Linked DNA regions of Danio rerio. The protein of the gene in region 1 interacts with the protein of each later gene in a pairwise test. Links are inferred from orthologs where the notes say so. Each region holds a gene or a part of one and is shown in the gene's direction. Other genes may lie near its edges. The genes, in order: fhl1a and akap12b.

The links.
Region 2: the proteins of fhl1a (region 1) and akap12b interact in binary tests that used the Homo sapiens proteins (3 or more experiments, as listed by UniProt). The link is inferred for Danio rerio from reciprocal best matches to the Homo sapiens genes FHL1 and AKAP12.

Annotation. Positions count from the first base shown.
Region 1 is NC_133189.1:36,176,909-36,181,311, forward strand, and holds the start of fhl1a (four and a half LIM domains protein 1a), read left to right. Parts: upstream 1-1,556; 5' UTR 1,557-1,656; coding exon 1,657-1,678; intron 1,679-4,403.
Region 2 is NC_133195.1:29,130,520-29,134,348, reverse strand, and holds part of akap12b (A-kinase anchor protein 12b), read left to right. Parts: intron 1-3,016; coding exon 3,017-3,829. UniProt on the Homo sapiens protein: Anchoring protein that mediates the subcellular compartmentation of protein kinase A (PKA) and protein kinase C (PKC).

The DNA of each region.
Region 1 (4,403 bases):
ATATTAAGCATATATATTCTGATCCTTATTATCATTATTTTTTAAGTATTACATCGCTTTGTAAACGTTTATTATTACCATTTGTTGAGTCTCCCTATACAGTTTTATAGAGCGCCTGGAGGCAGCCGCTTCACGTGGTCACACTTAACAAGTGGATCAAAAAAACATAATAATTTTGATACATGAAAACTAAAGAATCCGAAATGCCTGATATTCCATGATTTGTACAAAAAAATCAATTGTAATGACCGGAATAGACCTTTTGAAAAGCATGATCTGTGGGAACCCTGTCATTGTTCGCTTGCCAGTACTGATTCCAACTCAAACCAACAGTTTTCAACAGGCGTTTTAACAGATTCTATTGCTATCAGAAAAAACAGATCTGTTCTCTGAGTCATTTCCATTAACATTCATATGTACTGTAGACTGCACAAAATAAATACTTGTGATCCGATTAAGAAAATTGCATCTCAATACCAGGAGGAAACAGGACTATCATGGCCAAAGTATACAAGTTTAAAACATTTAGATCTCATTTACACCTGGATTTATTGTCGATGTTGGGTCAAATTCAACCATTGGAATAAAAAGTGTAATTTAAATTTAATTAAAAATAATAATCCAATGTTGGGTTTGTCCATATTTGACCCAACATTGGGTTACAACTTACTGGAATATACTCTGATTAACTGTTTTTTAATTTGCAGTTGCAAAGTTACTATACATTCACTTGTATATTGTAGACATTCAAAAGTCCTGCAGTGTTTGAGTTCAGACTCGAGTCCTTTCATGGAAATCATTTATAGATTTCACTCAGCTCTGCATAATTAATTATCTCTAGTCATTCGTATGTTTTGATTTAGTCATTCAAATTCATGAGCCACTACAAGAATCCTACAGCTGGTTCCAAATCAAGCATAGTTTTCCTCATACATCACAATCTTTAGGAATAAGTTGAGAAATAAGAAAAGCTCCACACTCTGTTGTATTATAAACATGGTTTGGCGTAGATGGAGAAACGGCTGTTTTATAGAGTCAAACTGAGTATCAAAGGCATCTGAGGACAGTTGCACTTTAGTGTCCTCCAAAAAGCCCTCAGAGAAGCAATTTAAGAAGCTTTTACTGTCTTCTTTTCTCTGCTTTCTAATTTTTATTGCAATGATTGTTTAATCAGACAAGCCAATAGCAACACAAAGTTTACTTGGCAAAGTAAGGACTGATAAACAAAGTTGTTCTAGGTGTGGTGCCATGTACTTTTACTAATCCATTGCAGAATGAACACAAGCTTCTCCAATATGAAGATCAGATTCCTTTATTCTGCTCTCTGATGTCACAAGCCAAGAATTCAGATGAATTTAGTTCTCTCCGGCTCCCTCCCCTTCACTTATCTTTTGCAGCACAGCCTAACATGGAGTGGGCAGCTGATGCTTTGGGTGGGATTACTGGGTTTGTGAGGACAGGCCATGATGGGTGTGGTAGGCAACTGGGGGGCAGGTTTTAAAAGGCAGCTGGGGAAGTACTGTATATATGACAAATACTTTCAAAAGAAGAGTGGAGTTCTCCTGTAACTCTTTGGCTATACTTGGTATCCTGTATCAATCCATCCTTCCATCTCTTTCACTTCTGCAAGGCTTTCTGTTTTTCCAGATAGCAGACATGAGCTACTACAGGCACTCAGGTAAAGATGCACAGCGTGACGATTGATGGATCAGCCAGTGGATTCTCTTGGCACTTGCATTTGTTTTTTAATCAGGCATATTGTATTTGGTTTAGCTGAGATCCAAAGACTGATCAGTAGGATTGTTCTAAAATAATTTCTATTATTTAGCTGTAAAGCATAGCATTTGTCAAAAGAGGCAGTAAAGGTATTTGTAATCACATTTCTGTCTCAACTAAACGATAAATTTAGTTTTTCATGAAAATAGTAAAAAGTAAAACCATTTTTATTTGTATATTATTGAGAAATGCACAAAATCAACATGTCAGAAGGCTGCTTAAAGAATCAGCTTTGGAAATAAATGACATTTTTATATCTATAAAATATTCCAAAAAAATATAAGATTTAAAAACTGTATCAGAATTTCTGTTTTTAACAAATAAATGCAGCCAGTGTAAGTATATGTTAGGATTTAGTTAACAGAAAGGGCTTTCTAATATACCCTGATGCAAATTGTACTTTATAAAAGAGGTGTCATTGTTTTATTTTATTTTTGAGAGGATTAGGCATTGTAATTCCAGTATAGATGAATACCAATCTTATTTGAGAGCTTGTGCAAAATAGATAATAAAGTAGATGCTATGTTAATCACAGGCAGGCAAGCACATCTTTGTCTGTATAGTCACTATAATGCTGAGTTTGGGTATATTTGTATGTGATCTCAATCTTGTCAGGCATGGGCTGGTAGAAGATTTTGATGGTATGATAGATAAAAAATATCATAGTATTTTGATTACTGCTCCAAAACATGTTCTTTTTTTAAATGTCAGGGGGGAAAAACAACAACCCCCTCTAAACACAATATATATTTTATTTGAAGAAACATTTATAATATTTTGGAACAGTAAACATTTCAGGCTGAATAACTGCAATAAATCGTTGGCTTCTGCTGTCTTCATTAGTTTCAAAACCAGATTTCTTTACAACTTGAAAAGGCGTCCCTGGAAATCTTTCTTTTCTTTGCATATAAATTAAGCCACTGCACTGTTCAGGTCTATAGCATGCTTGGCTGTAGGTGTACGAGAGATTTGCTTTAAAATTTTTCCTGAATCGCGTGCTGACCAGCTTTTGATGTGGAGGGTTCTTTTCTGCTGGAAATACTGTTGCACTAAAAAAACTAATAGTCGTAAAACACACACACACACACACACACAAAACAACGTACATTTACTGCCAGCCTGATCTCACGACAAAATGTAACTATTTTACGTTTTGTCAGTTTAGTGGCTAATTTGTTTGAAATTGTACAACTTCAGTCGAATGAAAATGTACAATTTTAAAAAGGAGGCATGGCACCCAAGCCACCCCCACCCCCGCCGCACCCCTAAACCCAACCGTCATTGGGAGATGAGCAAATCATACTAATTTGTACGAATGAGATGTACAAATTCATACGAATTAGCCACTAAATAAAAAAAAGTTATGAATTGCCACAAGATTGTGTTGATACTGTTGGAATGGTACAACAGAAAATTTTAGCAGTTTTAAAAATGACGTCCAAACCACGGTAAACCTTAAAACTGGTTATTGTCCCATGTGTAATCTTGTCCAAATATCAATTGAGCTAATTCCTTAATTCTGCATCATTTCCCCTCTTATTTGGCCTGCATTTGCTACTGTCAAATATAGCCATCTCAATCAATGTTTGCTTTAACGTGGACATGCTCTCTTCGGTTTCTGTTCTCCGTATGGCTGAATTTGATCTCGCGGTGACCTTTCAAAACAGCATTTGCTCTTCGCTTTGGGACAAAGAGGTCCGTTTGATAACACTGACAGAGCTGGCTAAAAATGAACAGCTGATGGACGCTCTCCCAAAAGGCTTAGGGGATTGAGCATGCTGGTCAGGTCAGGATGATTATTTAGTTTACAGAAGCCACAACACCGCTCCTGTATAGAGGAGAATTCAGCTAAAAAAAACGAACTGAGCTCAGACATATTTGGTATAGTGTAGCAGGTATAGCAGTGGACAACACGGTGGCCAAGTGGGTAGCACTGCCACCTCACAGCAAAAAGGTCGCTGGTTCAAGTCCCAGCTGGGTCAGTTGGCATCTTTGTGTGGAGATTGCAAGTTCTCTCCATGTTCGCTTGGGTTTCCTTCAGGTCATGAGGTATAGGTGAATTTAATAAACAAAATTTGTATGTGTTTAAATGAGTGTGTATGAGTGTTTCCCAGTACTGGATTGCAGCTGGAAGGCCATCCACTGTGTAAAACATATGCTGGATAAGATGGAGGTAGATTCCGCTGTGGCGACTCCTGATGAATAAAGGGACTAAGGTGAAGGATAATGAACAAATTATTAAATATAAAGGAACTATGCATATAAATGTTTACTCCATCTAAGATCGTCAGCATGAAAGAACATTAGAGGAAAGTTTTAGCTGAAAATGTGATTCATATAATGCAAGTCAATGGCTACCAGCACTTTAAAAGAGTAAATAAAATCACATGCAGGTAAGAGGAAACAAATACCTGTGATTGATGATCATACATTGAGGTAAAGTGATGTGAAACTGAACTCTAGTTTCGATATATCTTTCATAAAGACTCAAATACTCTTGAGTAGGACAGTCTGGAGCGTCTTAACGCATAATAACATACGGAGAAGCCGAACTCAAATAGGATGAGGCTGTATGTTTATGATGGAGAGGGAGCATGTGTGTTCATATCATCAGTGATGTTTATTTG
Region 2 (3,829 bases), on another chromosome or scaffold:
AGCTCCTCAGATCTTAGTCAGGGTTCTCTAGAGGTGGTGTGGGTGTGTGTATGGAATTGATTACCTTCTGCACATGACTTCAGAGAGAGTTTTGATTAGTTGTGAATGTTTATTAAGCTTTATGTATGGAGATTCTTATCTCAGTTTTTAATTACACTTTAATTTGCTTTAATTGTTTTGTGTGTGTTTGTGTGTATATATATATATATATATATATATATATATATATATATATATATATATATATATATATATATATATATATAGTTGAAGTCAAAATTATTAGCCCCCTTTCAAATTTTTTTTCAACCATCGTCTTACATTTCCTTGCATAATTACCCTAACCTGCCTTTAAATGTCACTTTAAGCTGTATAGTAGAGAAAATATCTAGTAAAATATTATTTAATGTCATCGATGCAAAGATAAAATAAATCAGTTATTATAAATTAGTTATTAAAACTATTATAATTAGAAATGTGTTGAAAAAAATCTTCTCTTTGTTAAACAGAAATTGGGAAAAAATAAACAAGTGGTGTAATAATTCAGAGGGGCTAATAATTTTGACTTCAACTGTATATACACATGTACATACATACATACATACATACATACATACATACATACATACATACATACATACATACACACAGCACATTGCAGGTTCATTGGATTTTTGCAATCTTAATGGTTTTTATTCACCACAATCCATTCTAAAAGTAGATATTGATAGTATCATAAACAAAATTTTGATTGTTCATTCAACCAGAGTCAAAGGGGGCAGTCACTAAAGTATAGTTATTTAGTGTGGGAGGTGGGGTAGTTGGCCTGGTGGGGGTCCGGCAGTCAGTCTACTGCTCATTCTTCCTGCAACTTCCCTAAACTCACAGATTCCACTAATGAACAGCCTGCATTTGCATGTAACAGCAAGGGGTAGGGGGTTGTTGACCATTACCTCAGACCCATCTCAACAAACATCCACCCTTCCCCCAGCTTTCTAGAGAGCCCAGCTATCAAACTACTGTGATTTCAGATGGCATCTGCCCCCACCCACCCACAGTTCTACACTTTAACAGCCACAACAGACACGCTATCAAATTCCTTGGCTTGAGTTTCCCCAATCTGAGACAAAGGCAAATGTAGGGCGACTGATGGCTTACTCATGGTCCCTGACCCATTTTGTCTTTCATACTCAAGTAAAATTAAATACACACACACACACACACACACACACACACACACACACACACACACTGCACAGACATGTCTCCAGCTGTGTGAGGCAACAGCATCATGTTATAGTTTAATGTTTCATTTTTCTAATTGTTACCTAACTTTTATTGCCCCTTAAGATACCGCCAAACTTTTCCAAAAGTTTTACAGCTTGTCCAGTAATCAGTCTTCCATATCATCAAGATTTTCTATCTGTCATTCTAAATTGTTTCCCATAATGCCCCTTTCCCATTTTACTGCAAGGATTTCATCATGGTAGTTTAGGTTCCAGGACAGACAATAGTGTGGCCCCCCACCCTTTTTAGCTAAAGCAGGAAAAACCAGGGGCCCGTTTGGAGACAAAGAGCACAACACAATACAGTCTTCCTAAGCTAAAGTTTAGAATTGGGTTTGGTCTGTGGGGGGGATGGCTTGTTGTTTTGTAGGGGGATGGGAATGCCATTGCACCCCAGTATCACATTGAATTGTGGTATTAGATTAGCGCCTCTCTACATTTATAGCATACTTTAAAACCACAGAAGAGCTATCTTAATTTAAACTTACTGAAGGTGGATAAGCTAATGTAAGATTGTAAATGCATTCTCCACTGGGTGACCATGGCACGATTAGGAGCATTGGTAGTTTATTCTATTTTGTTGTTTCATTGTAATTTTTTAAGGGTGGGGTAAGACTTTACCAGTCACATAAAAATATGATTATTTTAATATGATTTATAATTTTTCGTTTTATAAATCATAAGTTGTTTGTTTGGTAAATGTGTTTGCGTTATCTAGGCCTGTGTCATGCAATTGTGTAGGATGTCAAGTAATGTTATATCCATGCATTAAAAATGCTTGGAATTTGTTTTTAAAGTCACTGGGTGGGTTTCAGACCCCAAAGCAAGAGCAAGCAGAGCCAGATGTGAGCAGTCTCTTGCTAGGTTGGATGTCAAAGGGAAACTGGGCCTCTAGGAGGCCCACACTATATGTGAACATGACTCCCTGTTCCTAGACCCACACCCTCAAAACCAACCCACTCCTGTCAAAACACAGATAGACGAGGGAGGAATTTAAGACATTATAAATGTGTGTGTGTGTGTGTTTGTGTTTTTTGTTTATCCACCTGTTGTGCTTTTAGTTACATTTAGTTTCAGATGATACTGTGCTCACATGCTGATTAATATTAGTAAAATACTATCAAAAAAAGCCCCTTCGATATGAGTTTGCTGTGTTTTATTAAATCAGGTCAGTTTCATAGTCCAAAAAGTTTGGCAACATATCCTGCATAGCTGAAGCTTACTACATGGAAATTTCCCCTGTTTGCTTTTAAGTTAACTGTTGTCATCACCCCCGTTTTATAGTTTTGGTTAACATTTACAGGCAGGAGACCAGAATATGTAAACTTAATATCAGATTGCCATCATATGCCTGATTAAATCTGTAAGGGGGGAAATGTTTTTTTTGCAGGTTTTCCAGAAATGTGGCTCTGATTTCCTTCAAATGACACAGTCCTCCATCTTGAGTTAATCATCTCACTAGATCATTTATTTTGCTTTTATTATTATAATTACAAACCTGTTTTTCTAAACTAATTCTTTTTGTGGGTTGACTATCCACAAGAGACCAAACACACAGACGATTTTAAACACTTGGAGTGTTATGTTATTTAATAATCTGTTAACTTGATGATTCGAATGGTGACGACTTGATTCATTTTTTTTTAGATGTCCAATTAAGTATCATAAGTATAAGTGAATAAATTTATGCAAGCAATTTAATAAAATCTTTCATTTTTGTTTTATTTCAGTTGGTCAAACGGACACCATCTCCCCAAAAGAAGACAGCCCTGAAACAATAGAAGTGCACCAGGAAGAGGTTGCCCCTCAAATGAATGGAGAGAAGGGAGACGATTCTGCAAATGCAGATGAGATTACAACTGCTGAAGAGAAGGTGGTAGAGGAAAAACAAGAAGAGGCCAATGAAGTGGGCTTCAAGAAGATTTTCCGTTTCGTTGGATTCAAATTCACACTGAAGAAAGACAAGAATGAGAAGACTGAGCCTGTGCAACTGCTGACAGTGAAGGAAGCAGAGAGTGGTGCTGATGCAGCCACTGAGGAAAAGAAAGAGGAACCTGCAGCAGAGGAGGACAGGTCTGTGGAAGAAAAATCACCAGAAACCACAGAAAATGAGGCCAAAGCTGAAGAAGTAACTGAGAAGGCAGAGGAACCAGCAGAACAAACTGTAGTTGATGCACCATCAGAGACAGAAAAGGTCAGTGATATTGAAACTGAAAAACCTGCTGAAGAAACAGGGACAATATCAGAGAAAGAACCAGAGCCAGAAGTGCCAGCTGAATCGCCCACAAGCCCACCCTCTCAGGAGACACAGAGTCCCTTTAAGAGATTTTTTACTCAGGGAATCTTTTCTAACCTCCGAAAAAAGGCAAGCTTCAAAAAGCCCAAAGATGAGGAACATGTCAAAGAAAAGCCTGTGGAGGAGGACATTAAGGAAACTGAGGAAACAGCAGAGGGTGTTCCCGAGGCTACAGAAGAAGCTAAAGTTGATGCTGAAAATGAACCAGCTGAGGGTGAGCAGATAGAGAAACCATCTGAAACTGTTG